4 linked regions of the Rhinolophus ferrumequinum genome follow. The protein of the gene in region 1 interacts with the protein of each later gene in a biochemical or structural test. Links are inferred from orthologs where the notes say so. Each region holds a gene or a part of one and is shown in the gene's direction. Other genes may lie near its edges.

What was found.
Region 2: the proteins of MAPK9 (region 1) and JUNB form a complex in vitro, tested with the Homo sapiens proteins (2 studies listed by BioGRID). The link is inferred for Rhinolophus ferrumequinum from reciprocal best matches to the Homo sapiens genes MAPK9 and JUNB.
Region 3: of the proteins of MAPK9 (region 1) and ELK1, one has a biochemical effect on the other in vitro, tested with the Homo sapiens proteins (2 studies listed by BioGRID). The link is inferred for Rhinolophus ferrumequinum from reciprocal best matches to the Homo sapiens genes MAPK9 and ELK1.
Region 4: the proteins of MAPK9 (region 1) and MAPK8IP3 form a complex in vitro, tested with the Homo sapiens proteins (2 studies listed by BioGRID). The link is inferred for Rhinolophus ferrumequinum from reciprocal best matches to the Homo sapiens genes MAPK9 and MAPK8IP3.

Annotation. Positions count from the first base shown.
Region 1 is NC_046307.1:3,355,565-3,362,826, reverse strand, and holds the start of MAPK9 (mitogen-activated protein kinase 9), read left to right. Parts: upstream 1-4,253; 5' UTR 4,254-4,413; intron 4,414-7,262. UniProt on the Homo sapiens protein: Serine/threonine-protein kinase involved in various processes such as cell proliferation, differentiation, migration, transformation and programmed cell death.
Region 2 is NC_046301.1:48,779,462-48,785,881, reverse strand, and holds JUNB (transcription factor JunB), read left to right. Parts: upstream 1-4,084; 5' UTR 4,085-4,379; coding exon 4,380-5,423; 3' UTR 5,424-5,918; downstream 5,919-6,420. UniProt on the Homo sapiens protein: Transcription factor involved in regulating gene activity following the primary growth factor response. Binds to the DNA sequence 5'-TGA[GC]TCA-3'.
Region 3 is NC_046284.1:86,334,033-86,341,592, forward strand, and holds the start of ELK1 (ETS domain-containing protein Elk-1), read left to right. Parts: upstream 1-4,560; 5' UTR 4,561-4,662; intron 4,663-4,705; exon of another isoform or gene 4,706-4,706; 5' UTR 4,707-4,743; intron 4,744-7,560. Other genes in the region: protein UXT, read left to right, coding at 3,008-3,071, 3,277-3,330. UniProt on the Homo sapiens protein: Transcription factor that binds to purine-rich DNA sequences. Forms a ternary complex with SRF and the ETS and SRF motifs of the serum response element (SRE) on the promoter region of immediate early genes such as FOS and IER2.
Region 4 is NW_022680357.1:3,490,142-3,497,753, forward strand, and holds the start of MAPK8IP3 (C-Jun-amino-terminal kinase-interacting protein 3), read left to right. Parts: upstream 1-4,605; 5' UTR 4,606-4,733; coding exon 4,734-5,051; intron 5,052-7,612.

The DNA of each region.
Region 1 (7,262 bases):
TGCCCATCACTTCCAAGGCCCCAGCCTGGCTCTACAGCCTGTAGTCCTGAGGCCGGCTCTACCTCTGCCTCCCCCACCCCACCCCAACGCCCATGCAACAATGCAGGAGTTTCTCAGTAATTGTCCCCATCAGCTTAAGTGTGGCGTGGCCTTCTAAAACACACACCTGAAAAAGTCATGACTTGCATCCCCTACACATCTGTGGTCCTGGTAAGGGGTGGGGGAGGGGCTGGAGGACGCCATCACGAGCATACTGACCCCACTGTGCGCATGGTTCGCTGGTCTGTGCCCCACACTTGGCACTTCTCCCCTTGAGTCCTTGCAGCATCCCCATCGGGCTGGGACCACCACCCATGCCCACTCCCCACGGAGCTGAGGCTCAGAGAAGAGAATGCTGTGCTCAGAAAAGCACAACTAAGTCGAGAGCCCTGTTGGAACCCAGGCCAGTCAAGGGCAGACGATGAGATCGGAGCCATGGACACCTGTCAGCACTGTGCCCCCAGCCCAGCACTGCAACCCCTGGCACCCCCCACCCAGGAAGTGGCAGTAGAGCTCTTCCTTCCTCCTGTGTTCTCCCTGGTGAAGAGGCCACGTGTGGGAAGGGGAGGTGGGCAATGTCTGCCAGCTGTGCCACCAAGGAGCCAAGTCAAGGGCAGGGAAGGGAGGGGCAGTGAGGTCTCAGGAGTAGGGAAGAGGCAGTAGCCTGCATCCCAGAGGGCACCCAGCCAGGGCCACAGAGCTGAAGGCGACAGGAAGGGGGGAGGGGCGGGGCGTGGGCAGCTGGGATGTCGGCTCCAAAGGCCTTGCTCTAGGCAGGATGAGCAGGCCAAGCCCAGGTCCTCACTCGGAAAACCAAGCCAGGAAGCATGGCGTCCTCTCTGAGCCCTACCCCCTCCCCCTCCCATCCCACCTCTAACACTTGACAATTCCACCTCTTAAACGTTTTCTTTACATCAAGTTTATTTAATTTACATACATTGTCACCATTTTGTAGTGTACAGTTCTGAGTTTTGACAAACAATAGTCATGTGACCACCACCATAATTAAAATATAGACATACCCATCATCCCAGAAAACTCCCTTGGCTCCTGGTAGTCATTCCCCTCCCCCCACTTTACCTCTGACAACCCCTGATCTGATTTTGCTTTTTCCAGAATGTCATATAAATGGACTCATAGACAATTCACTTATGTTTGGCTGCTTTCACTTAGCATGTTGTTTTTGTTACTTATCCATATTGTGCTCTTGTCAGCAGGCCAGTCCTTCCTGTGGCCAGGTTTCGAGAAGCCACTGATGGCCGTACCACAGTTCAACCTCTCACTGGATTATGGACGTATGTGTTGTTTCCAGTTTTTGACTGTTTTGAATAAAGTTGCTATAAACATTCACATACAGCTCTTAGCGTGGACGTTTTTATTTTTCTCAGATACACACCTAGGAAAAGGGTAGCTGGGTCGTATGGTAGGTATATGTTTAATGTGATCAGAAACTGCCAAACTATTTTCCAAAGTGGATATGCAATTTTGCTTTCCCACCAGCAGTGTATGAGCATTCAGTTGATAATTGTCTTTATTATAGCCATCCTAGTGGGTGTGTGGTGGTAGTTTTTTGTGATTTTAATTTGCATTTCCCTAAAGTCTTGAAATAGTTTTAAGATCAGTTCCTTCCTCTTGACACCTACTGCCATGGCCCCAGGCTAGGCCTCATCTTCTCTCTTTCAAGGGCCTTTGTAAGAAATCCCTAATTGGTCTTGTGGCCTTGAGACCCTCATCCCTGAAATGTCATGTGCCCTAGTGATCTTTCCAAAATAAATATCTAATCACATTATTCACTTCCTTTCTTAACACCCTTCAACAGCTGCTCTTTACCTCTTCAGCCAGGGCTCCCACCCTGTGATGGCCCAAGGGCCAGCAGGGAAGGGATGAGTGAAGTCGCAGCCGGGGTGGATAGTAGGGAGTAGAGGGGACTGTGGTAAACGAGGGGCCTCGCCTAAAACGTAGTAGGTGCCACTCAGTTCCAGCTGATCACTGCCCTCTGGAAATGCAGGGCCCATTTTGCCAGAACTTCTAACTTTTTAAGCAAAACCAATAATTGAGATTTTTTAAGTGAAAGCTCCCAATTTTTAAATGTTGGCAACTAAGTCAACAACAACAAAAAACCAACCAAACAAACAAAAAAGCCTCTCTGGGCTAAACAAGGCATAATTGAGCTGAAGCCAGCTCAGGGGCCTCTAGTCAGCATTGCCCTCCACCTCAAGGCTCTCATAACTCTCCAGCCCCCACTCCCTGTCTCCAGCAAAACCAGGTGATGTGGTTCCCTGAACACAGCATGCAGGTCCTCACTTCTGAACCTTTGGGTCTGAATGCCCTTTCCACCTGAACCCCTGGCCCAGCACATTCCTGCGGCCTTCCCAGCTTCAGCTGGGGCTTGCTTCCTCCTGAGCAGGAGGCCTTCCTCAACTGCCTCTCCCACCTGGCAGGCTCCATCAGCCCTCAGTAAAGCTCTCACGTCCTAAAATTCTCATCACACTTGCCGCAGAATCTTCTCGCTTCTTGGCCTCAAAATTCTGCGCACTCTTTCAAGCATGGACCAACCGTCACTGCTCTGTTCACTGTATTTCACAAACCAGAAAAAAACAGAACCCTTTCAGAAAACTCAGTGTTAAATACGTACAGGTGTCTATGTATGTACAATGGTTTTTGGTATTCACTTTGCATGGGGTGAGTGCTGTAAACTCAGGGCTGGAGTGTCTAGGAATGAGTGTCCCACCTAATCTGAGGGGAAGCACCCAGAAGTGCTCCCAGGTAAAATCACAGCTGACAGCCAGACTTCATTAGTTTTCCATAAGCCTTGATGGTGAAAATTTTGCTTCCCTGTTTTCTGTTGTGCACCTGGGGCAGGTGGCAGGTGAGGCTGAGGGGTGGGAGGACCTTTGTGGACCCTCCTCAATACAGGTCACACTCAGGAGCTCCAATTTGAAGTCGATCAGGCCATACGCAATTTCAGAAAACTCCCTCTGGTGGCCAAGGAGGGGGGCCTAAGAGAGATAGCATGGCTGGATCCCCTGCTCTACCCCACCCCTCCTCTGAGGCTCTGGTGCCCCCAGCCTGCTCTGGGTCACAGGCTTGCCGCCCTCCCCAAATTCTGTCACCACCTTCCATACCCTCCTGTCTCCTGACCTCCCCATATGCAAGGTGCTGCTTCTTTCCCCATTTTGTCCACCACACTGGCCACCCTGTAGGCCCAGACATCCTGTGACAGCTACTCTCCAACAGTCCTCTCACCCCATCTAAGGACCTCTGCGCCCCACCCCCACCCCCAATGTGTCCGGCCTCCTGGCCTCATTTCCACCGTTGTTTATCTAAACGACCGGGCAACACCCAGTACCCTGGCCTCTCCCATCATTTCAGAGGATGCCAGGCCGTCTGGAACTCGACCCAGGGGCTGCAAGGCTGCGGGAGGTGCCTCAAAATATCAATGTCAACCGACCCCAGGCCCTAGGGGGCCCTCAGCACTGCACTCACTTCCCCCCATTTACGACCCTGCCCTCCTCTGAAACAGGCTTGACCTCTGACCAAGTGCACCGGCCTGTTCTCTCCTTCCCTCTGCCAATGACCGGCAGGGGACACTCGTCTGCACATGGCCATCTCCTCGGCATCCCACCCCCCAACCCCCGCTTCTGGCCGCATCCCTACAATCCGGTTCACAGCGAGTCCAAGGACCCACCTCTCCTCCCCACTCCCTCGCCGCCCCGCCTCCGCTTCCCGGGAGCCATCACACGCCCGGGTCCTGAGCACCGAGGCCCCTGGCTCTCCCCCTCCAGGCCGTTCCGTCCCCCTCCAGACCGCCTCGTCGCTGCTAGTTTGCACCTGCAGCCGCGAGGCCCGGCTCTCGGTCCCGCCGGTCCGCCGCCTCCCGGCTCCGCATCCAGCCACCGCGTTGCGAACCCCGTGGGGGACAGCACACTCAGTGGGAACGCCGGATCGTGTCTGCAATTCTAGACCCCCCGCGCACCGCCCGAACCACGGGAACCCGCACCGAGCCCTGGTCTCCGCCCGCCGGGCTCCACCCGACGCTCCGCAGCAACCCGCCCCTCGGCAGCGGCCCGCCCCCCGGTACCATTGGCCGCGCCGGCCCGCTTCTCGGCGCGATGATTGGTCAGCGTGCGGGTCGCTCAGGTGGGGCTCCGGCGGCGGCGGCAGCGGCGGCGGCGGTGGCGGTGGCGGTGGCGAAGGGAGCCGGACCGGAAGGGTCGAATCGCCCCGGCGCCCCTCACACCCACTGCGGCGGCGGCGGCGGCGGCGGCGGCGGGGTGGAGCGGGCGGGGTGGCCGGCTGAGCCCGGGGCAAGAGCCGCCAGCGCCGGCAGTCTGCCCGCTCGCTCCCTCCCCCGGCGCGGCGGCGGGAGGCGAGGTGAGCCCGGCGGCGGGCTAGGCCTGGCGGGGGCTGCTCGGGCCGCGCCCCGCCGGGAAGGGCGGCGGGAGGGTTTGCGGGGGGCGTGGGCGGTGTGGCCGGGGTCTGCGGCCGCTGGAGGCCCGTCTGCTGCCCCTGTCCCTCGGGCTACCGCAGTCTCCCCGCCCGCCGGCTGTCAGCAGCCCGGGGCTGCGGGCTCTTGCTGGCACGGCTCCTAGCGGCCCCCGGTGGGGTCTGTGGGCGCCACCTCTCCCGAATGTGCGGCACGCAGCTGCACACCCATGCCGGGATGCTCAGGAGCCGGGTCTGGTTCCTGCGACCTTGGCCATGGCACTGACGCTCGCTGTTCTCGGTTTTCCCCTCGGGAAAGTGGGGAAGTGCCTGCCCTTTGGGACAGGGTTGTTGTCAGGCTCTATGAATGTGTGGGAAAGCGCCTGGGCTGGAGCTCAGTGCACAAACCTGGAGAACTGGGCGGGGCACTGCCCCTTGCCGGTGTGAGTGTGGCAGGAACCCCTCACCGTCCTCCCAGAGTCCCCCATCTCCGTCCTCCTGTGCCTCGTCATTGCTCACTCGGTACCCAGCAAGACCAGAGTGGGTCCCACCCACCTCCCCTTCCAACCCCGACCAGAACACTGCTTTCCTATCCCAGCCACCTACCCTAAACATGCAGCCCCATTACCTTAGGACCTTTGCACTTGGTGTTTCCAGTGCTTGCAGTTGTCTCCAGGATCTGCACATCTGGCTCCTGGTTCTTCCTCTGGTCAGATGTCTCATTTAACAGGAGGCCTTCCTTGACCACCCTCTTTCATCCCTTAGTCATTTTATCTATCATTTTGTTCAGTAGCTCTGTGCGAACAGGTAGTTGTCTGATTTACCCACTGCTTTATCCTCAGTGCTTAGAAAGCACACAGTAAATACTCAGTAGTATCAGTTCAGTGGATGAATGAATGACCCTGCCTGCCTGTTACCTCTGCTTTATCTGTTCACTTAATGACTTCCGACTAACTTGTGAAACATGGAAGCAGATAGAAGCTTGTTCTCATTTTGTGAAACATTTTAATGTTCTTGACCCCTTTATTTGGTAACACTCAGAACACGCTATGATAGAAAAATCATACATTTTTATAATGTTTTAGCTCTAATTTCCTTCCACACATTCAGGAGGCATTTACTGAATTCTACATTATTTAGGTCAGGCTTTCTGCTCGGCCTTGGGGACACAAAGGCAATAGTGACAAGGTCCCTTCCTCTAGAGAGCCGGAGAATGCAGCCATGAAGGCAGACACGCAGACAGTGCCAGGACGGTGTGATGCCCACTGTAGTGGAGGGATTATGCCACGGAAATGTAGGGAATGTGACGGGTGATGCTGGCGTTGGGCCTTGAAGGGTGATGAGAAATTTGCCAGGCAAGGAGAGGCAAAGAACTGGAGAAGGGCAGGGAGAAGGAGGGAGCTTAGCGAGTGTGGGGTCAAGAATCAGCCCGTAGGGCCACCTGTAAGACATTGGGGGGCAGCAGGGGGGAACGGGACTCGAGAACCAGACCTCACCCAGTAATTTTTAAAAAGAAGCCTGAACTCTAAATTTGTAACTCTACTCTCCAGTTTTTTAACTGTTGGCAGTAGCTAATTTAGCCTTTTTTTTTTTTTTTAATTCTGTGAGCCAAGCAAAAAACATTTCATTAAGCTTGGTTGCAGGATTATCAACTTCTAGGGCAAGTTACTGAGGCGGGAAGAGCTGTAATGAGCTAGAAAGGTAGCCTGAGGCCAAGGGAGCTAGTTTGTCCAGGTACTCTCATTTACTTGTCACTGGAGCCCTGTAAGTGGCAGCTATGAAACCCATTTCTACAGAGGAAATGGGGACTCACAGAATCTCAGTAGTCTGCTTTACTGCAGGTTACTGGGAGGTGAAATTTGAACCCAGGTCTCCCCCAGATCATCATTCTTTCCTGGGTCCCTCAGCTGTGAGTATTCTTTGGCTTTTAAGTTGTTCTGGAAGAACAACATCCAATCTAGGTGTTTTCCTTCATTTAACTCTTTATTTTTTCCTTCATAAGGATCCTTCCTGGTTAACAATAATCCTATTTTGGCATAGGATTATTGAAGGATCAAAGGTTCTCTTCTATGGAGAACTTTGATTTTCCTGAGGATTTAATTTTCAGGATACCAGGACTTTACATAATTTGTTGGTAGATTACAATTTGTACTTGGCCTTTTGTGATTGTGTGAACTAATTTCAACACCAGCCTTTCTTTCAGCAATTTATTATGAGGACCTTCAAACATATATACCAAAAAAAACCACAAAAAACAAAAAACAAAAAAACAGAATAGTGTCAAAAATTATCAACTCCTGGTCAATCTTATTTCATCCCTAATCTCATCTACTTACACCCTCACCCTCCATATTATTTTCAAGCAAATTCTATATAGGTCATTTCATCTGTGAATTTTTCAGTATATGTCTGTAAAAGATAGGGACTCTTTTAAACTTGGAAAAGCAAAAATTAATATAACCAAATAACCAGTCAATATTCAAATTTCCCATTGTCCCATACATTTTAGAGTTTCTGTAATAGTTTGTTTATTGGAATCAGGATCCAAAATAAGGTCTATACATTGTGATTGGTTGATAGGTCTTTTAAATGTCTTTTAATCTGTAGATTCCCCCTCTTTTTCTGTTTTTGTTTTCCTTGTATTTTATTTGTTGAAGCGATTGGGTTGTTCTGTAGCATTTCTGTTGTTGGATTTTCCTGATTACATCTATGCAATGTCATTTAATGTGTTTCTCTGTGTTTCCTGAAAATTCATAGTTGGATCTAGACAAGGCTTGGTCAGACTCAAGGTGCCTTCC
Region 2 (6,420 bases), on another chromosome or scaffold:
GGAGGTAGCTGGCAGGCCAAGGGTTCCTGGGGGAGGGCCTCTCTGATTCTCAGCCTCTTCCTGCCCAGCTGCCTGTCCACACCCAGGGGCAGGGACGCGGGATGTTGGGTGCTGTGACTTGTGGGTTCTCGCCCTGTCCTGCCCACCAGCTGACTCACACACAGCCCCCAGCCCAGTTTCCTGGTGAGGGCTCCACTGGTCAGTGGGGCCGGGGGAGGGGGGTCACCAGGCTATTTATAAGAAGGAGAAGTCCCTCATGTCAGGACCAAAAGCCCCAGAGAGACCCGTGGGTGGGGGTGGGTGAACTTCCCCCTTATCCTGTCCCCCCACCCCATGCCCTGGGCCCCTGGATGTGGGGGAAGCCTGGGCACAGAGTCCTCCTACAGATGCTGGTCTGGAGCCCAGGGGCTGGGCAGTCCCCAGCTGACAATCTGGGCACCCAGGCCAGGCGGGGGAGGGGGCTATCCTCACACCCTCTTCACAGGGCCCTTGGCGCCAGTGGGGCGGCGTGAGGGGGTGGTGCCCAGGCCACAAGGGTGAGACTGGCAGGGGCCTGGAACCGGCTGTACCAGCTCAGCTGGGCCCCCGCCCTCCCTCGCTGGCCTGATCCCCACCCCCTGTTCAAACACCCATGCAGAGTACATGGAGCCACCCGACCCCACTCCAACATGCTGGGCTGTCTCCCCACCCACCAGCATCTCTCCATCCTGTGCCCAACTCCATTGCTCTCCAGATTAAAGGAGACCCTTCATGAAAGGGTCTACAGAGCTTGGCATCCAGTTGGTACTGCATAAAAGCCTCTCTGCTTGTGATTATTCACAGTGTAGTGGCTAATGCTCTGGATCCAGACAGCTAGGGTTATATCTCGACTCCAGCACTTATAGCTGTGGGCCATCAGGCAAGTTCTTTACCTTCCTGTGCCTCAGTTTTCTTGTCTGTTAAATGGGGGTACATAGCATGCATTTCTCTGGGTGGTTGGAAGCAGGCAATGAGTTATTCTACGTAAACCACTTAGAAGAGTGCCTGGCCCATGATAAGAGCCATGTAAGTGTTAGCTATTAAAATAATAATTACTATTTCTCAGTCTGTCTGCCTATCTTAAGTGTCTGAATCTTGCTGTCTGTCTGCATGACGTTAACCTTGCCCCGGGTTTGTCTCTCTGGCCATCTCTCCCTGCCCTGACCCCTGCCTTCATACACCCACTTTTCCTTGCTGAGTCCTTGCCCTCCATCTGGATCCTCTCTGGGCTGGCCTCACCTCTTTCCAAGACTCCCCTGGCCTGGCCTGCCTCAGCACTGGCCAGGGCTGACTCACTGTGGCCTCCTGGCCTGTGAGACCTGCAGGTTGGCTTCGTGAGATGCTGCCCTCTGGCCAGACCTGCCCAGCCCCCCAACCTTGCCTACTGCACCCCCGCAGGGCCCAGGCCAGATGTCAGCTGCAGTTATTAGCATGGGCGGGAGACATAGGCCTTGGCAGCCTGCCGGCCAGACTCAGCGGGCCGCCGGAATCTCCCTTGAGCCTGGGGCGGGGTAGGGGAGCAGTTCAAACAAGGGGAGGAGGGAAGGGGGCAACCAGGGGTCACAAGGACCTCCAAAGACCAAAGACAAGGGACACCCCCAGCTTCTCATGGGACCTTCCTCCCAAGCACCACTGCTCTACTGGACTTCCCCCTACCCCCACACAGCTCAGTTTCTCTTTCACCTCTTTCGTTTTCCTTCTCTCCCCCACCATTGGTGAGCTCTGTGCCTGTTGTACAAAAACTGGCTAGCTCCATCCTCAGCCTCTACCCTAAAGAAACTTCCATCATTCCAGAAGATACAGGCCTCTCAGAGAGAGAGAGAGACTGAGCTTCTCACCTCTTGTTCTAGTGGCTCACATCCTAACTGCTTGGAAGTCCCACCTTAAGTCTAACTAGAAACCTCACCATCTAAACACCCACTCAGTCCTTAACTGGGGAAGGGGCTCTGGGTTTCCCCAGATTCTTCCCTTGGATTCTCAGGTCTCTTCTGACTGGAGGGAAGGGGAGCCCTCAGATAAAAGAGATATCCTGTGGAGGAAGGGAACCCCTCCCAGGTATTCTGGATGGTTGACGGAACCCCCAAACAAAACAAGAGTAGGGGCGCTTGCTCACATGAGTGAAGGAGGGGGCATCCCAGCCCCTAAGGGTGTTTGTGGGGAGGAGTCCCACATCTGGCAAAAAGGAAGGTACCCGCCCGAGGGAGGAGGCAAGCCTTGCCAGCCCGCCCAGGCGCCGGGGGCGCCTGGAGGCACTGACCCGCCTTCTCCGCGCCCCGTCGGGCCGGGGGCGAAGTCCGACCCAGGCCCGCGGACAGGCGGGGACCTGCCGGGCTGGGTCGGGCCAGGCCTAGCAGGACGCCGCCCCAGAGCGACTGGGTGGGGCTGGGCCAGGCGGCCGTGGGGGCCCGGAGGCGGCGGCCGAGGCTGGTCGGGACTAGCCGTCCGGGGGCCCCGGCGCGCCCTGGGACCTGGCAGATACCAGGGCTCCCGGCTCCTGGCTCGGGTCCCCGGGACAGCGCTGGCCCCACCCCTTCCTGTGCCCTTATATGGGCGTCAGGGAGAGACTCCCGGGGATCGCCCCGCCCCCAGCCAGCGCACGGACTCTGGCCTGTTGCCATAGCGACCAGGCCCGCTCTTGGGTGCGTCCCCCTCTGTCGGGCCAATGGAATAGTCCCCGAACTGTCTGCCTCCGAGATTGCGGGCGCCACGGGCTGAACCACATTGCTGGGCGGGGGGAACAGTGACTGGAGGCCTCTGCAGCTGGGCGTGTTCGGCGCACCCAGGCCTCAGCAGTGGTCGCGCTCCCAGGTTCCTCATCCGAGGCGCAGAACCCCGCCGGACCCAGGGCGGGGCGCACGGTCCAGTAGGATCCGAGTGACGGAGGCCGGGCTGGGCTCCGTTCCCCAGGGCTGTTGCCACATTTCCTGCCGCGAAGCTCTTCCCAGGCCTTTTCTAAGGAAGGAGTGGGGTTGGGTGACCGCGCCCAGGCCGGCGGGCTGGGTCCAAGCACCAGGAGCCGACTCGGTGTCGGTCAAGCCCACGGTCACTGGGGAAAGGCTTTGGGATGGGGACAGAGTATACAAAGACCTCAGCAGGAAGGTCACCCAAAAGAGGGGGCTCCAATCATGGAAGATCCAGCAGCCCAAGTCCCCAGGATCCTCAAAGACCCCGCCTTTCCTCATGTCTCAACCGGGGACCCTCTGTCATTGGCATCTCAGCTCTGAAAGTGTGCTCTGACCCTAATTCTACTTCATCAGGGCTTTGCAGATGTCTCCAGTGACCCCCTTTTCTACCCCACATATTTTCTCTGAGTCAGTGTACCCCAGGACCCTCACTCACTTTCTGCATATCTAGATTCCCCTAGTGTCCCCCCTTCCCATTTGTGGGGGACCCTCTGTCTCTCCCATGGACTCCAGGACCCCTACTCATTTCTTGCATAATGGGTCCTCAAGCCTCTCCCAGTGTACCCTTTTCATTTCTCCTCCTCCCCAATTTTCCTGGATTCAGTCGCTCCCATGAAAATCCCAGTCCCTCAACCCCTGGTACTTGGGACCCCCACACAATTCCTGTGTCAGGCCTCTCTTTACCCCTTCCCCTGCTTAACCCTTCCGTCTCTCTTTTATGGGGTCTCCTAGCGTATTCTCAGCTTTCCAACTCCTTTTGGATACTCCGGGTCCTTCAGGTCCTTCTATGTACAACCTGGGACACCCCCCCTCCCCAAACACACACACACACACTTGCTCTGTATCAGTTCCTCATGTCCCTCATCGCGTACTTCAGGGGTATCATCATCCACCCTGGAGCCCCTCCTCGGGTGCCTCGGACCGCCCCAGCACCCCCTTCCTCGCGCGTCCCGGGGTCCCCTGAGCCCCTCCCCCTACAGCATAGCCAAGCCACCCAGCCCGTGGCCGCTGTTTACAAGGACACGCGCTTCCTGACAGTGACGCGAGCCGCCTCCTCCCCTTCCCCACGCTCGAGGAGGGGGGCGCGGGGGCCCGGCTCGCGCGACGGCCAATCGGAGCTCACTTCCGCAGCTGATAGTCGTGGTATAAAAGCGTGTGGCTCTGGCTGAGCGGCCGGTACCTTGAGCGCGGCAGACCAGCGTCTGAGCAGCAGGGAACGGGGAGCAGGGGTAAGCGACACGGAGAAAGCGAGCGCGCCAGAGAGGGGCAGAGGGGCTGGAGAAGCCGCACAGAGCTTCCGCGCAAGGCGGCCGGGTGGCCTCTCCCGGCGGGTGCCGGCACCCAGGGCCGCGCGTCCAGACAGTCAGTCCAGCCACCGCCGCGGACAGAGCACCGCTCGCAGCAGCGAGGCCCGGGGCGGCCCCGCAGGGACCCCCCCAGACCGCCCGGGCCGCCCGGATGTGCACTAAAATGGAACAGCCCTTCTACCACGACGACTCATACGCAGCGGCGGGATACGGCCGGGCCCCGGGCGGCCTCTCTCTACACGACTACAAACTCCTGAAACCCAGCCTGGCGCTCAACCTTGCCGACCCCTACCGAAGTCTGAAAGCGCCTGGGGCGCGGGGCCCCGGCCCAGAGGGCAGCGGTGGTGGCAGCTACTTTTCCGGCCAGGGCTCGGACACAGGCGCGTCGCTCAAGCTCGCCTCATCGGAGCTAGAGCGCCTGATCGTCCCTAACAGCAACGGCGTGATCACGACGACGCCCACGCCCCCGGGACAGTACTTTTACCCCCGAGGGGGTGGCAGCGGTGGAGGTGCGGGGGGAGCGGGGGGCGGCGTCACCGAGGAACAGGAGGGCTTCGCCGACGGCTTTGTCAAAGCCCTGGACGACCTGCACAAGATGAACCACGTGACACCCCCCAATGTGTCGCTGGGCGCCAGCGGGGGCCCCCCGGCGGGGCCTGGGGGTGTCTACGCGGGCCCGGAGCCGCCTCCTGTCTACACCAACCTCAGCAGCTATTCCCCAGCCTCTGCGCCCTCCGGAGGCGCCGGGGCCGCCGTCGGGACCGGGAGCTCATACCCGACGGCCACCATCAGCTACCTCCCACACGCGCCGCCCTTCGCTGGCGGCCACCCGGCACAGCTGGGCCTTGGCCGAGGCGCCTCCACCTTCAAAGAGGAACCTCAGACCGTGCCTGAGGCGCGCAGCCGCGACGCCACGCCGCCAGTGTCCCCCATCAACATGGAAGACCAGGAGCGCATCAAAGTGGAGCGCAAGCGGCTGCGGAACCGGCTGGCGGCCACCAAGTGCCGGAAGCGGAAGCTGGAGCGCATCGCGCGCCTAGAGGACAAGGTGAAGACACTCAAGGCGGAGAACGCAGGGCTCTCCAGCACTGCCGGCCTCCTCCGGGAGCAGGTGGCTCAGCTCAAACAGAAGGTCATGACCCATGTCAGCAACGGCTGCCAGCTGCTGCTCGGGGTCAAGGGACACGCCTTCTGAGCACCCCTTCCCCGTACGGACATTCCCCCAGCCTGGACGGCTGGGCGCACGCCTCCCAAGGGGCAAGGGGGCAGGCGGTGGGCACTTGCCCCGGGGTATGGGGGCGGCGAAAACCACACTGGACTCCTGCCCGCCGGCTCTGCGCCCAGTCCTTCCACCTCGACGTTTACAAGCCCCCCTTCCGCGTTTTTTTGTATTTTTTTTTCTGCTGGAAACAGACTCGATTCATATTGAATATAATATATTTGTGTATTTAACAGGGTGGGGAGGAGGGGGCGATCGCGGCGGAGCTGGCCCCGCCGCCCGGTACTCAAGGCTGCGAGGACTCAAGGGAGGGGCCCCGCCCCCTGCCCTCCCCCCCTGCACCGTACTGTGGAGAAGAAACACGCACTCAGTCTCTAAAAAGTTTATTTTAAAATGTGTTTGTGTGTGTGTGTGTGCGTTTGTTCTGACTTTTTATTGAATCTATTTAAGTAAAAAAAAAAAGGTTCTTTATTAATTTCTGTTGTCTTTTTTTTCGAAGCCGGGCGGGCGGAGGGAGGAGAGTGTTGAGCTGCCCACACCCCACTGCTGTTTGTGGCTCGCTCCGGTATTTGTGTCCCTTCGCCAGCTCTGCCCAGGCATTTCGCAGCTCCAGCCCGGGTGTCCAACCCTCCTCGCGTACCCTGATCCCGGGGGCTGGAAAGTCCAGGGCGCGGACCGGGCCCAGCCTCCCAGGACCTGGGAGCAGGATGCCTGGGGCGAGATGTGCAGTGCGCAGGCGCAGCCCCGTCCACTGGCTCGGGCCGGGGCTTTCCCCGCTGACGCAGCGGAAGCGCTGCCCATATATGGGCCGATTCTGCCCAGTGACGCGACGGCGGTCTCCGGGCAGATTCCGGGAATCCCCTCCCCCGCTCTGCCCGGCAAGGCCGCGGCGCCCGGAAGGAGGCCGGGATTTTCCCAGGCGGGTGGCTGCTTGGGCCCGGAAAGCCCCAGGCCTGAGTCCAGAGCGTCCACG
Region 3 (7,560 bases), on another chromosome or scaffold:
CGAATGGAAGGATGTAGTTGCCATTATCTGAGATGGAGAAGATCAGGAATTCTGTCTAGGACCTTTTAAGTGTGAGGTGCTTGTTAAACACTGAAGTGTAGTTTTTGAAGATGTAGTTCAAACTCCCAAGACTGTAAATAATGCTGCAATGAACATCAAAGTACATACATCACTTTTTTTTTTTTTGAATTAGAAATAATGGAGACTATATGAAAAATTTCCATGTATTTACTTTTTAAAACTTTTTTTAAATTTTAAGACAATTTTATACTTAGAGAAAAATTGTAGAAGCCATGTAAAATACACCCCTATACTTTTTACTCAGTACACAACTTGTTAATATTTTCTTATTCTCTTTCTTTCTCACATATATATTTATGCACATATACATATATTTATATATTTACAATATATAATATATACACATGCTCACAAATGCATATATAATTTATTGTCTGTAATCCAACTCAATGATAAAATGGATGTATTATCATTAATCTTGTGAACAATGGAAACTTCCCTTTTTATTTATTTATTTATTATTATTATTTTTTTTACTTTTAACTTTATTTTATTTTATTTTTTTAATTTATTGGGGTGACAATTGTTAGTAAAATTACATAGATTTCAGGTGTGCAATTCTGTATCACATCATCTATAAATTACATTATGTGTTCACCATCCAGAGTCAGTTCTCCTTCCATCACCACATATTTGATCCCCCTTACCCTCATCTCCCACCCCCCAACCCCCTTACCCTCTGGTAACCACTAAATTACGTTCCCCAGATTAATTTTCAAACCCCGTGGCCATCTTGTGGTTACTGATTGTTTTCTAATCCCCTCACCTTCCCCTTTACCCCCACCCCCCCGCCCATCTAGCAACCCTCAGTTTTTCTTCTTTGTCTCCAAAACTGTTTCTGATTAGTTCATTCACTTATTCTTTTCTTTAGATTCCGCATATAAGTGAGATCATATGGTACTTATCTTTCTCTGTCTGACTTATTTCACTTAGCATAATGTTCTCTAGGTCCATCCATATTGTTGCAAATGGTAGATGATTGGATAAAGAAGATATGGTATATATACACAATGGAGTACTACTCTGCCATAAGAAAAGATGAAATAGTGCCATTTGCGACAACATGGATGGATCTTGAGATTATTATGCTAAGTGAAATAAGTCAGATAGAAATAGTCGAGAACCATATGACTTCACTCGTATGTGGGATATAAAACTGAAAGCAACAAAAGAACAAGATAAATAAAAACTCATAGACAGACAACAGTTTGGTGGATACCAGAAGGTAAGTGAGGGGAGAGGGGGATGATATAAGAGGGTAATGGGGCTCTTGGTGATGGAAGGAGAACTGACTCTGGGTGATGAGCACACAATGTGGTATATAGATGATGTATTATAGAATTGTACACTTGAAGCCTATGTAATTTTACTAACCATTGTCTCCCCAATAAATTAAAAAAAAATTTAAAAGGCAAAAAACCCCGAAAAAACTCCCAAGACTGGAGTTCAGGAGAGAGGTCTGGATTGAAAACATAAATTTGGGAGATACTGATGTATAAATGGGTTTGTAATATTTTTTCCAATTTAGCATCCTGTGTTGCCTTCTCCTTTCCTTACAGTATTTAGTTTCCCTAAAACTGACTCCTACATTAACAGCTCAGCACAATAAAATCCACATTCCTTATCATGATACCAAGATCCTGTATGATCTAGCTTCTTCCTACCTCTTGGACCTTATCTTGTACCACTTTTCTTCCACCATTCACTTAATTTCTAACACTCCGGCCTCCTGACTGTTCCTCAAAAAGCTCTTTCCTGCCTCTTGGACTTTTTGTGGAAAAGACCCTCCTACTTTTTAACTCTTACTTCATTCTTCAGAAAGGCCTTCCTTGACCCTTTGTGTCAATGAGGATTCTTTTGGGTGAAACTGATCCCAATTGGTTTATATAAGGAATCGACTGGTTTATGTAACTCAACAGTCCAGGGCCAGAGTGGTTTCAGGCGACTCCGGCTTCCCAGTTGCTTAGGCCTTGAAGTCTTGCTTGATTTCTCTCTCTTACAGCCAACATCCAACCCTTTGAAAAGCTGTTGACTCTACCTTCAAAATATATCCCAAATCCAATCATTTTTCATTGCCTCAACTGCTGCCACTGTGGTCTGAGTTTCCATCTCGCACCTGGACTGTTGCAGCAGCCTCCTCCATGGACCTCCTGCTTCTACATCATCTCTCCTTCTCCCCAGTCAGTTCTCCACACAGCAGCCAGGTGGATCCTTGTAAACCCTAGTCATTTCACATCCCTGCTCTGATGACAGCCTGGCTCCCATCCCACTTAGAGTAAAAGCCAGAGTCCTTACCGTGGCTTTGTAGGTTTTACACGATCTGTCTCCCTGCTTACCACTCTGACCTCACCTCCTACAATTCACCTTTGCTTATTCTCCAGCCACACTGGCCTCTCTGCTGTGCCTCAGACATGCCAGGTACACCTGCACCTCAGCACCTTTGCATTTGCTGCCTCTTGTGTCTGCAACACTTATCCTCCATATATCCAGATGATTCACTTCATTTTAAGTCTTTAATCAAACACTTCTCGGAATTGCAGCCCTCACTCCTGCACTCCTTATCCTCCCATTGTTTAATTGTTTCATTGTCCTTAGAACTATCTGACATACTATGTATTTTATTCCATCATTTGTCCCTCTTAATGAGAATTGGAGCTTCACAAGGCCGAGATTTTTGTTTGTTGTGTTTGCTGCTGTCTCCCCAGTACCTAAAACTGCCTGGCATAGAGTAGGGATTCAATAAACGTCTTTGAATGAGTGCAATCCATATGGTGGCCAGGCATCTCTGCATGGGAGCAGGTCAGGTAGTAGGATGTCCTGCCACAGGCCGTGTGGAAGTCATCCAGGATGTAGGTTGTTCTTGAAGTGATGAGGAAGCCTCATGATCATGGGGCCCACTTTGTACTTTCTTGTTTCTTTTCTCCAGGCTCAGCGACAGCCTCACGAAGGACTCCATGAATATCAAGGCCCATATCCATATGATGCTAGAGGTGAGAGCGACTCACCCCACTCCGAGACTCCACATGCTTTTAGGGTGGTGACCTGAGGAAGAGAGAGACAGAGACTGGAAGGTCCATCTGATCTCTGACCTGGAGCCAAGTTAGAAGCAAGCTGGCTCTGAGGGAGAGGTCAGAGCAAGCCTGGGGTGGGGCCTGGACCCACTCTCTGTTCTATCTCTTTTGTCCTCTTTTTCAGGGGCTTAGAGAACTACAGGGCCTGCAGAATTTCCCAGAGGACCCTCACCACTGACTTCTTCCCCCCTCTCCAGACATTAAAGAGCCTGAATGCCTTTGAGTCACATGGCCCTTCTTTTCCCCTTTAACCCCTGCTGTTTGCTGAGGTGCCTATTTCTGAACCACAAAATTGCTAGGAGGCCCAGAGATCCAGTCTCGGTGTGGAACCTTTAAAGTGCCCCTGAAGTCTCTCTGCCATCCTGTTACCTGGCAGCATTTGCTACTTGACTTACTGCTCTGCCAGCTCTTCTGTCTCCTTGGCAACCTGAGCCCCCACCTGACCTTTCTTTTCCTGGACACCACTCAATTACCATAGAGAATGGACCGATTCAGAGTGGAGTTTTGTTCCCAAGGTAATCAGCCTTTCACTTCTGGCCCTAAGGTTTACCCCTCTCCCACACCCCAGTCATTTCTCGGATACCTTAAATTACACCCACGGCCGTCTCGGCCCAAGTTGGCCTTGCTCCTGCTTCTATAAAGTTCCAGCTTCCACCAATGGGCGCAGAGCCGGATCCCACCCTCCCTGGTCCGGCCCCTATTCTAAGTTGAGACCAGCTTCCAGTCAATGCAGAGCCAAGTTCCGTCCCTGTATAGCTGACTGCTGCTCGACCCAGCCCTCTTTGGCATTTGGTTCCCGCCACTCAACGCTCCCTTGCGTGTCCGGCAGCTGTCGTCCCCTCCTACCTCTGCTCCGTTCTAAATTCCTTGGGCTTCTCCCTTCCTTTCGTCTTTTCTAGCCAATCATAGAGTTACCCTCCCTGCCTACGCATTGCCCAGGCCCGACCCCCCTCCCGGCTGGCTACTCCCACTTCTATACAAGTCCTGCTTCCGGGGACCAGCCTGGAGTGCAGCACCGCCCCGTTCGTGTTTTGGCAGCTGTCTAGGAGTCCTCATCTGCCAATCAGAAAGCACCGCTCACCTAACCCCTATTCCCAGAGGTGGTCTGTCTTCCATCAATCACATATAAGCCAATCAAAGCGAGGTAGGCGCCTCCAGAACCTTGTCAACTGCTCAGGGTCTATCAGTCTTCCTTGAGCCAATCAGAGTGTAGCACGGGCGGGGCCAAGCACGCCCCCTTGGGATCCTGGCGGCCATCTGCGTTCCATCAGTTCCTCTTGGGCCAATCACGGCATAGCTCTATGGGGTAGGGCCCGCCTCCCCAGCCCGAAGTCGAGCGGTCAATCCATGGCGTTTAGCCAATCAGCGAGCAGCGGAATGCTCGGCTCCTCCTCTACGGGCCCACGTGAGCGGTGGGGAAACGCAGGGGTGGCTGTTAGGTGTTGCCGCTGCCGTCACCGCCGCCACTGCCGCCGCCACCGCCGCCACCGCCGCCTCCGCCGCCTCGGAGCCCGGGCCTGGGGGGCGGTGGGGCCGCGCATGGAGCCCCCGCCCCCCGGAGCTGCCAACACCACTGCTGCGCTGCGCACAGGTGAGCCTTGGCCTGGAGGGTAGAGGGCCGGGTCAGTGACCCCACGTATCCTTCCCACCCTAGCGAGAGGGATGTGGCTTGGCCCGTGGCCTACTGTTGTTAGACTCCCCACCGCCGCCACCACGGCTGGTGGACCTGTCTGTAGCATTGTCCCTTCCCTATTGTACTGGATCTAACTGTGGCCTAACCCCCCTTCCTGTTTTATAGTGGATCGGTCTGCGTGCTTATATTTTTCCCCACCCTGCCTTATAGTGGACTCGTCCATGGTCTTGCCCCCACCCCCACTTATAGGGGACCAGTCTCTGGCATTGTCCAACTTCTTGACAGTAGGTCTTGTCTTAGTGTATTTCTCCTATCCTCAACTTTCAGGGACCCTGTCAGTGGCCTTCTTTGTCCCACCCCTCCTGTTCCTTATAGTGAATCAATCTGTAGCATTGTAAACCGCCCCCCCATACACCCCTCTTTGACAGTAAATTAATCTATGAATTTGTATTCTTCCCTCCTCCAATCCCCCAGTGTACCCGTTCATGGCTTTATCACACACACGCATATGCACACATCGTTTTCCAGTAGGTCAGTGTACATGCTTGTATTCACATCCCCCTAGCTTACCAGCCCATTGCCCTGTCCTCCCTTTTTTGTAGACTGACACTCCAGTCCTTGGGCTTCTCCCTTCCTTTTAATAGTGGATCAGTTTAGTACTTTGTCTCTCCCTATTTTCAGTAGCCTCTCCATGGTCTTGTCCCCCTCTCCTTTTAATTAGTCTGTGTGATGGTTTTTCCCCCTCTCCACTGTTGTGCAGGTGTCGATGTGCTTTTCTGCCCCCCTTGGCCCAGTAAATAAAATGAGCCTTTACACCACCACCACGACCACCCTGCCTTTGCAGTGACCTGTTCATTAGCCTTCCTGCAACTGGTGTCCTTGCATTTACACCCCCTCCCCTCCTGTGAGTCCAGTGCTTTGTGATCCCTCCTCCAGGAGGGTCGGCCTATGTACTTTTATTTCCCCCCTCCTTTCCTTGTGGTGAATCAGTCATGGGCTTCCCTGACCTCCTCCCTCCTTCTTAATAGTGGATCAGCTCATGTGCTTGTTGAAGCCAGGTCTTTTTGACTCTAGAACACATACCCTCATGCACACTGTTAACCATTAGGACATCCTGCCTCACTACAGTAAATGAATAATTAGAAATAGTGATAATGCTAATAGGACTAACATTTATTGAGTACCTACTATGGACCAGGCAGAGTGTTTTATATTAATGAGCTCATTTAATCTTCACCACAACCCTACGAGGTAGGTACTGAGGAAACGTCAGCATAGGGAGGTTAAATGCCTTACTCAAAGGAGACCCAGTGAGTACCAGGTTAGGGTGCCCCTCAGAACACAGGATAATTTTTGAGGCTCCCCTCTCTCACTTTATCCAATCCCATGTGAGGCCCCACTCCTTAAAAAACAAATTAGTTCCATCTCCAAGCTTTCTTTTTTCTATTTCCTCTGCCTGCAGAGCTGTCTCCATTGCATACCTTGTCTCAGCACCCATCCACCCCCAATCCCAGAAGCTCTGTGTCCTTAGTGATTTAACCACTTTCTCTCTGCACTTGTTTCCTCGTTTGTAAAATGGGAGGATCAGAGCTAGAATCCCCTCCAGTGTGTAAATAAAGAATACTTGTGAGTTAATAAAGTCACCTCTCTGGCCTTACCTCCTACACCCCAACTCTGTTTCATTCACACCGACCTCCTCACTTGTCCTCAAACACACTAGATGCGATCCAGCCCCAGGGTCTTCACATTGGCCGTTGTTTCTACCCAGAACACTCCCCAATCTCTGCATGGTCCCTTTCGGGGCTCTGTTCAAACATCAACGCGTCCCTAACCATCTGAACCTGCACACCTCGCAGGACTCAGGCCCCTTCTCTGCCATATTTGTCCCTTTGCCCTTTATCATTATCGGTTACACTGTATGAAGTTTATTGTGTTGTCTCTCCCCATTAGAATGGGAGTCTCATGAGGGCCTACAGTTTTTGTCTGCTTGGTCACTGGGAGGTCTCCAGCACCTAAAAATATACCTAGTATATAGTAGGTGCTCAATACGAGTTTATTGCGTGAACGAGTGGGGGAAAATATAATTTCAGACAAATCAGGGTGGGGGGAATGGATATGAAGCAGGCGCACGAGAGCTAGTTAAGAGGCTAGTTAGTTGGGACTGTTCATTCAACAAACATTGAGCACCTGCTGAGTACCAGGCACTCTTCTAGGTGCTGGGGATGTGAGAGGCAACAAAATAGGCAGAAATTCCTGCCCTTGTGGAACAGAGATTTGCTAAAAGTAGAGGAGACAGACTATATAAATAAGACAAATAAGTAAAATTAGATAGTATGTTAGACAAGAGCTAAGGAAGAAAAATGAAGTAGGGAAGGCAGGGATAGAATATTAAGTTGGTGGAAATGTTAAGTGCAGAGCAGGCCTCACTTAAAAGGTGACTCTTGAATTAAGGCCTGAAGGAGGTCAGGAAGGGAGCTATAATGTCTAGTGGAAGAGTCTACTAGGCAGAAGGAGCAGCTGGTGCAAAGGCCCTGAGGTGGGATTGTGCCTGGCCTGTTCAAGGCACACGAAGGAGGCCAGTGTGGCTGGACCAGAGTGGAAGGAGGTATGGGAGGTGAGATCTGAGAGGTATCGGGAGCCAGGTGGTACAGGTCACAGTGATATATAAGGTTGGGGGAAAGGGGCTTGGGAAGGGAAAAGGATGACACACTAGCTAATAGCTAATATTTCTTGAGTGTCTACCACGTGTCAGAAATACTTTTCTAAGTCCTTTGT
Region 4 (7,612 bases), on another chromosome or scaffold:
ACTCGTGTGGTGGTGGCTGTTAAAAGTGCCTACAGAGCTAATAATGCCAGGTGCTAGAACTGTCTTCGTCGTTATTAAAATTGAGAAAAGCAACAACTGTTCAGTTACATTCACAGTGGCCGGGCGACACACTTAAGTGCCTGCACGAGCCGCCTGCCAAGCCCCACTTCTTACAGCCCCACTTCTTGAGGGCATCCGCATGTGGCTTTGTCAACCAAAGAGTCTTCCCTCCTTTCAGTTGCCCTGCTGTCTTTGGAGCCAAGAAACACTCACTCCATGTGACTTTGTCAAGTACTTCCTGTCTCCATCCTTCAAATGGTCGTTTATAAGAATATTGTTTGGAATTCGGAGTATTTGTTCCCCCATTTCAAAATGTCATAAATGGCAGTGAGCTTTTAAGCGCAAACACACTAGTTTAACTTATAATGAAATGTTCCAATGGTGGAAATGAACTGCAATTTATAACTCTTATTTTTTAATACAAGAGAGTGATTTGTGGATTCCAAATTGGGTTGCCAGAAAGAATCCTGACACTGGTGCTGGCCCTTGGGGTTTCACCCCGACCCTCACTGTCGGCGGAATGAGAGACTCTAGTTGTGTCCACTGGCAGCGATTTCTGGGGTGGAGATGGGGGAATGCAGCGATGGGAAGAGAGGCCTGGTGGAGTGAGGGAAACGCGCTATAGGAAGAGCCTCTGGGCAGCAGTGACAATTCCCTGCCTTCTGTTTCTCCCCATCTTCCCCCCCTTTTCCTTCCTGGGGCTGCAGCAGTGCGTTTAGAGTGCCTGGGTGGTCTGGTCACCGTGAGAGGCAGAAGACAAGTTTGTGCTCACATGAGCCCCGGTAGGGGTGGTCACCTGTATTTGGAAGATTTGTTAACTTTTAGCATCCTGCTCCCAACCTCTAAGCCGCATTGAGAAATTACCAGTCTGTATTTTTATTAAGCCTGAAAAACTTTTTATGTGCATTTGGTGCCAACTTTTTTTCTAGGGCTGTATCAAAAACAACAAGAAAGCTGTACTCACCTCACAATGTAATTTTGATAGGAAGACTTTGTTACTTTTACAAGGTGGAATTGGGTATAACAGTTGAATAAAACTTAGCAATCAGGTACTCAGCATCTTTGCCTAGTGTGTGTGTACCTGCGCTTTCCTCAACATCTATTCTCCAGAGTGCCTGACCTCTGCTCCTTCATTGATGAAGGGGTTTGCCTTTTTTTTCTTCCCCCATTTAGCCAGAGGATGCCCAAATTAATCTCAAAGACTATAGACTTAGATTTTTTTCATTTGAAAACCAAAGACTTAGCTTTGAGTAGAATGAGCGGGAATATGCAAGTGTTCTTTACAGTTTCTATAAGTTAAAGATTTTTTTTCTCTTCCACCACTTTTTCCCTTAAAGAACTGAAAGTATTGAACTTGCCTCTGAGTTGGCTTTGAAATGCTCCAGTGACAAGCCTTGTAATAAATAGATGAGGTGCTGAGCTATTAGCATTTGCTTGTAGGTTCAAGCCCTGCAGAGAAAGCAGATTGAACATCTTTCCTTCTTACAGTTATTTTCCTATGCCCTACAAGCAAACATAATGTACATATGATGTGGGTTCAGGAGGCTGAAACCTCAGGCTTCCCACCTGGAGAGTTCCCCTATAAGAGGCTCCACTATTCTGCCTGCTGAATCGGGGCCGACTACCAGGACAGCACTTCAGAAAGAAACCCAACATGAGGTTCCCAACACAGTCTCCATTTGTTCATCTGAAAACATGTTTCGGGAGTGCAGAGCTTGTTCCAAGAACTGGATTAGGCTCTGGCAGCATTACATTACCTATTTGTAGCAGCCACTCCAGCTGCAGGTTAGCACTGAGGTAGTGTCACAAGCTGTTTGTCTCCAGAGGTGAGGCAATGGCTAAGTCTGAAAGGACTAAGGTAGTTCCATCTGTGTTGTGGTGGGGGTGGGGGTGAAGCACATCAGTGATTGCCACTTCAAGTCCTGTGCCTTGTTCAGAAATAACACTGGCTCTTTTGACAGGGCATAGCTTGTTCTATTATCTTTGGCAATCAAACCTTTAAGGGTGTGTATACCTCCTGTGTTACCCAGTTCATTTCTTCTGAACGCACTACGTTCTTAATCTTGAAGCATTCTTAGAGATTAAGAATGAAATATTCCTCTTTCATGTGTGACTAAAAAGTGCTATCTAAAATTAAACATTAGGAAGAAGTGAGGGACATTACAGGGACCTCAGTGACTTTAGCAGGGATTAGAGGCAGATGCTTAGAAATCAAAGTAGAACTTTTCAAACCTGTGTGCCCATCTTACATTTTAGAGTCTTGTAGTGAGAAAAACAAAGTTGTATTCCAAATTATCTTTACAAATCTAAAAGGAAGCCTATTAAGAAGTAAGTTCTAATTCAGTTAGTTTCAATTCTCGGGAGTGTTCTAGTTGCATTCTAAAGTAAGTATAAGGGCGAAATTCAGGGAATCAATAACGCAGTTAGACTTAGCTGGTTTGTAGTTTAACTCACTGCATAGCTTGCTATCTAGCCACCTGTAATTAGACTTAGTTTGCAGTTTGAGCTATCCCGATACTCATGTTTTCATTTCTCCCCTCACTGATTAACTGAAGAACTCTGTTCCCTTGCTGAAGACTACCCTACCTCGTAAATGAATATCCTAATCCGGGAAAGAGCAATTTCTTAATCCTCAGGCGCCCGGACGCTGGAATCCTATTTACAACTTCTTGCAGTTTTTACTGGTTACGCATTAAAGTGTCAGGCCTCAGTGGCCGAGTTCGAGTCCAGAGTCCGGAGATAACATCGTCTTCAAACAGACTAGGCCCCAGGAAGGATGTCAGCCCTAAAACCTACCAGACTCCCCCTTTCCTATATAGAAAAAGCTAACCTGAGGTTGGTATAGCTATCTACTCTAAGACTCTGGACTCTGTCGCGGCGACTCCCACTCCCGTGTTTCTTTCCTTCCAAGGCAGCTGTCATCTTTGGACACTGCCATGGGCATTCTCTCTGCACTAACTTTAATAAAAACTTCCTTTGTAGAGTCTGGGACTGCTTTCACCTTTTGCGAACGACCAGGGGTTAATTCCGTGCCACGACAGTAAGCATCAACAATTATCCAGCATATCATCTTAAAACTTCATTTTGATTTAACCAATCGCAAGGAACAAATCAGTCTAACCACGTTAGTAATAAAAACATAAAGTTGATGGCCAACTCAGTTGGCTTCTCATTGGGGTACTGGCAGCTGCCAGAGGTCAAATTGCTGAAAAAGGCCGAAGGCTGAAGTCTTTAAACATTCCTCAAAACATTCTCAAACTTTCTCTGTAACTTGCTCACCAGCAAGAAAACATTTCACCTGTTTGTCCTGGCTCATTTTGAGGATATTGAACAATTCTACATAACATTTATCACGTGCTTCCCGTTTGCAAGAGACGTTTCTAAGCCCCTTTCATGGATTAGTTTATAACATTCAGAGTAAGTTGGTAATGTTTTTAGGCTCAGTTTTACGGTTTGGAAATGGAAATTTAGGATCATTAATGTACTTAGTAGCTAGGATCAAAACCCAGGCAGTCTGAATCAGACTGAAACTTCACTTTACCTTTTAGTTAGCAAATTAGGGTGAGCAAATTAGGCTGTAAGGGGAAAACGTGTGTGCTAGCGTTTAGGGCAAGTTCACTGACTGGGTGCAATCAGAGTAGGATGAGAGGATCTTAGGATGAACTGACCTCGAAGCATTTTGTTAGGTGAAAGGCAGGGGTGAGAGCATTTCTGTTAGCGTGAAGCTGTCACTAATGGGCTTTTTTTTAAAAAAAATTAGAATTTCACACTACCAGTGTGGCCTCCAAGCTGAAAGTTGAAGTCTTGGGTTCATGCTTTCAGAAAATCAAATAGGACAAATAGAAATGTAACATACAACCGTTGAAATTTAAAACTCAGTGGATGAGGTAAACAGCTAACACACAGCTGAAGTGAAACTGGGAAATCGAGGGAAGTGACACAGAACGCAGGACATCGAAGCGGACTAAGTGAAAGCTTGTTCCTGGATTTTAGGATGAGACGGACAGCTTGCACGTGACAGGAACCCCTGGAGGGACAGTGAATCGTAGAGCCACTGTTTGAAGAGCTGGAGTGCTCCCTGTGTGGAGGGTGCACTACTGTGTAGTAAAACTGAAGGGAAATCAACCAGGTCAGCACCATCACCACCTCGAGGGGTGCACAGAAAGAATGTCCGTTTCTCAGTAAGGGAGGATGGGTGCACGGATGCTCGTTTAAGTCTTTAAACCGCACGCAACCGTCTATAGATGCTCTTGGGACAGATGCTAAGTCACTTTGAAAGTGAGCCGGCGTCTGGGAGCTGCAGGGGAACGCGATTAAGGCGACAGGCGCTAGCGGCTCGCAGCGCGGACAAGCCTGACCGGAAGTGCACCCTGCCCGGCTCGGCCGAGCTTCCGGCCCAGAGACCACCTTCCTCGTACGTCACGGCCCCTGCGACCCCTAGTGGCGCGGCGCTGCGAGGCCGCGGCGAGACCGGCGGGCACCACCCCCTCTGGCCGGCGGGCGGGACTTCCGGCCGCTGAGTGACGGGCGCAGCATCAGGACCAGCAGCAACGGCGGCGGCTGAGCCCTGAGGCGACAGCGGCTGCAGCGGAGGCCACGGGCCGCGGGCGACGGGCAGCCGGGGCGGACGCGCCGGCAGACAGCGAGCCGCGCTGGCGGCGGCGGTGGCCGCGATGATGGAGATCCAGATGGACGAGGGCGGCGGCGTGGTGGTGTATCAGGACGACTACTGCTCCGGCTCGGTGATGTCGGAGCGAGTGTCGGGCCTGGCCGGCTCCATCTACCGCGAGTTCGAGCGCCTCATCCACTGCTACGATGAGGAGGTGGTCAAGGAGCTCATGCCGCTCGTGGTCAACGTGCTGGAGAACCTGGACTCGGTGCTCAGCGAGAACCAGGAGCATGAGGTGGAGCTGGAGCTGCTGCGCGAGGACAACGAGCAGCTGCTCACCCAGTACGAGCGCGAGAAGGCGCTGCGCAAGCAGGCCGAGGAGGTGCGTGGGCCGGCCGCGCGGGGACCCGCGCGGGGACCCGCCCGGGGACCGCGGACTCCCCGCCCCGCGCCGCCCGGGCCCCCCCGCCCCGCCCTCGGCCCCGCCCGGGAACCCCGCCCCGCCCGGCCCCCAAATCCCCGGAGCCCGGCTCCCCTTTCCGTCCTCGCCTGGTGCTCCAGCCCGGGGCTCGGAGCCCGGAGCCCTGAACCCCCAGGCGCCACCCAGAGAACTGGCAGCCTAAAAAAGTCCCGAGCCTCTGGCCAGGCCTCGGTCTCCTCTCCGATACCCACCTCTCACTCCAGGCGCCAGTTCTTTTTGCGTTTGTGTATATTTTGCAAACCAGTTTCCTAGACCCCAATTACTCTCTCTGGTTACTGCATTTCTAAACCCTCCCCGAAAAGGGATTTCTGATCTTACGGTTCTGCAGCGGGAAGAGGGTCTGTTGTCAGGAGATCTCTTCCTTGTCCCCACTCCAAGGTTTTGAAGGTGTGTGACATGGGTCAACTTGATAATTGGCGTAAACACATAACGAAAGCCACAGTTAGTTCGGCTGCTCCGCTGGCACCAGGTGAAAGACTCCAGGTTTCTGGAGGTGATTTCTTTGCCCTGTAGTTCCCTCAGTTGGGAAGGGAGATTGTTAGCTCTCTGTGGAAAAGGTGAGAAATTCCAGTCTGGCTTCTGAGGAGCTGGAAGTCGAATTTTGAAATATTTGTGTTCTAGGATATCTCTATAACCTGGAAGTCACTTATTTGTGAATCCGTTAGAGGAACTGTGCATTGTAGGGAATACCACTTAAGTTCGTTGATCATCAGATACTTAGCGCTGACTAAATCTGTGCCAGACCCAAGGGGACTCAGGGGACGTGGGTTCCCATCCCTGCTTTGCCTCTGTGACCTTGCCCACGTCTTCTGCCCGCTCTGCATTTTGATTTCCCATCAGTTGAATGAGTCACTTGCTCTAGATTTTCTCTAAGCTCTGACATTCTGTTATTCCAGGCATTAGGTGATGCTCTTTGATTTATGAATAGGAAGTTTCTTATTAAATGAGCTAAATTCCTTTGCAGTTAGTTTGGCTGAATGCATTCTTGACTTCAGCACTGAAGTCCAAGATTGTTTCAGTATTTCGCCTTTTTCCTGAACCAGAGTGGTTTATGCCTTAAGCCCAGTTTAAAGCATGTTTATGAAGATTAACAAGGTCTTGTATTATTCCTACTTAGAGTGATTTGTTTTGCTTTTGGGTTTTATGTGTCTGTCAAGAAGCTGTTGTCTATTGATTGGGGTGCCAAGCTCCAACAAAACTGAATTAAAGCTCTCAAGGGGATGCAAGAGCTCGTAGGATTTTTGAGTTCAGTGTGGTCCTAGACATTTACTGGGGAAGGAACTGGCTCCGTGAATGTGGTGGGCGGCCTGGACCAAGGTCCCACGTGCCAGCAGAGCCAGGTAACGACCCAGTCTACCCTGACTTCTGGCCTCGGCTCTTCCTTCCGTGTCATGCTGCTGTGGAAGGTCAGAGAGCTGCACCCCCAGAGGACTGGAGGCTGGGGCTCCCCTCGCCCACCCATGGGGCTATGGCTGCCTGCCTAGTTGGGCAGTGCCCTCCACTTCTCTGACCACTTTCGGTAGCCATTTGATGCCTGGGGTTTCAAGTAGGTTTGTTTTCTTTCATCTGCACTTATGTGGTCTGTACACAGTGGATGAGAAGGAACTAGAAGGGAAAAACCAAGATGGACACTCTTGAGGCTAAGAATTGTAACCTTGTAGCTTAAGAATTAGCTCTGCATGGATGCGGTCTCTGCTCTGCTCTGTGCAGTTCAAGTGCAGCCACAAGCGAGTGTACGTCTGGCCTCCCACCTACACTCCCCTGGACTGAGCTGGGGGCAGGGGTGCCGGGGTGCGTGTGGTTTGGAGGAGACTTCCTCTGAGGCTGAGACCCACCGTCGCCTGAGCTATTAGGAGCAGCTCCACAGAGCTTCCATGAAGCAAACAAATGCTTGGCCAGCCAGCAACGAGGCTCTGATTAGATGTGATTAGATGTCCACCCGTGGAAAGACCTCAAGTGATGTTATAATTAAAGAAAAGGGCCACATCCTGTCACCATTTTGGCACGCTAGCTCGTTCATGAAACCCAGCAGACATGCATGTTTAGTTTTGTGGAAAGGACCAGTGTGCACTGAATTGAGATCACAGATATGTATCTGATAACACAGGAGCTGGCAGGCACGTCACAAGCTATAGGCATGTTCGTGTTGCAGAGTAGCTCCTGTGTCCCGGCCACTGTGCTCTGGAAGGCTTAGTCAGAGCTGGGTAACCTGAGCTGCCAGCAGCCTTGTGAGCAGACAGAACCTGCAGATTTTTTTTGAAAGGCTTGAGCAGAGCAAACAACCCTGTCCTCTACTTTTGCCCGTAAAAACCGCAGCAAGAGATTGCAAGTATGTTCTGATCCTGGGGTGGCTTCTATGTCCTGGGATGGCTCATTGCATAGGAGTGATGGTAGCTAGAGATACTGGGGTCCAGGGAGAGGGCCGAAGCCCTGGAGTCCCCAGATGCAGGCTTGAGTGCCAC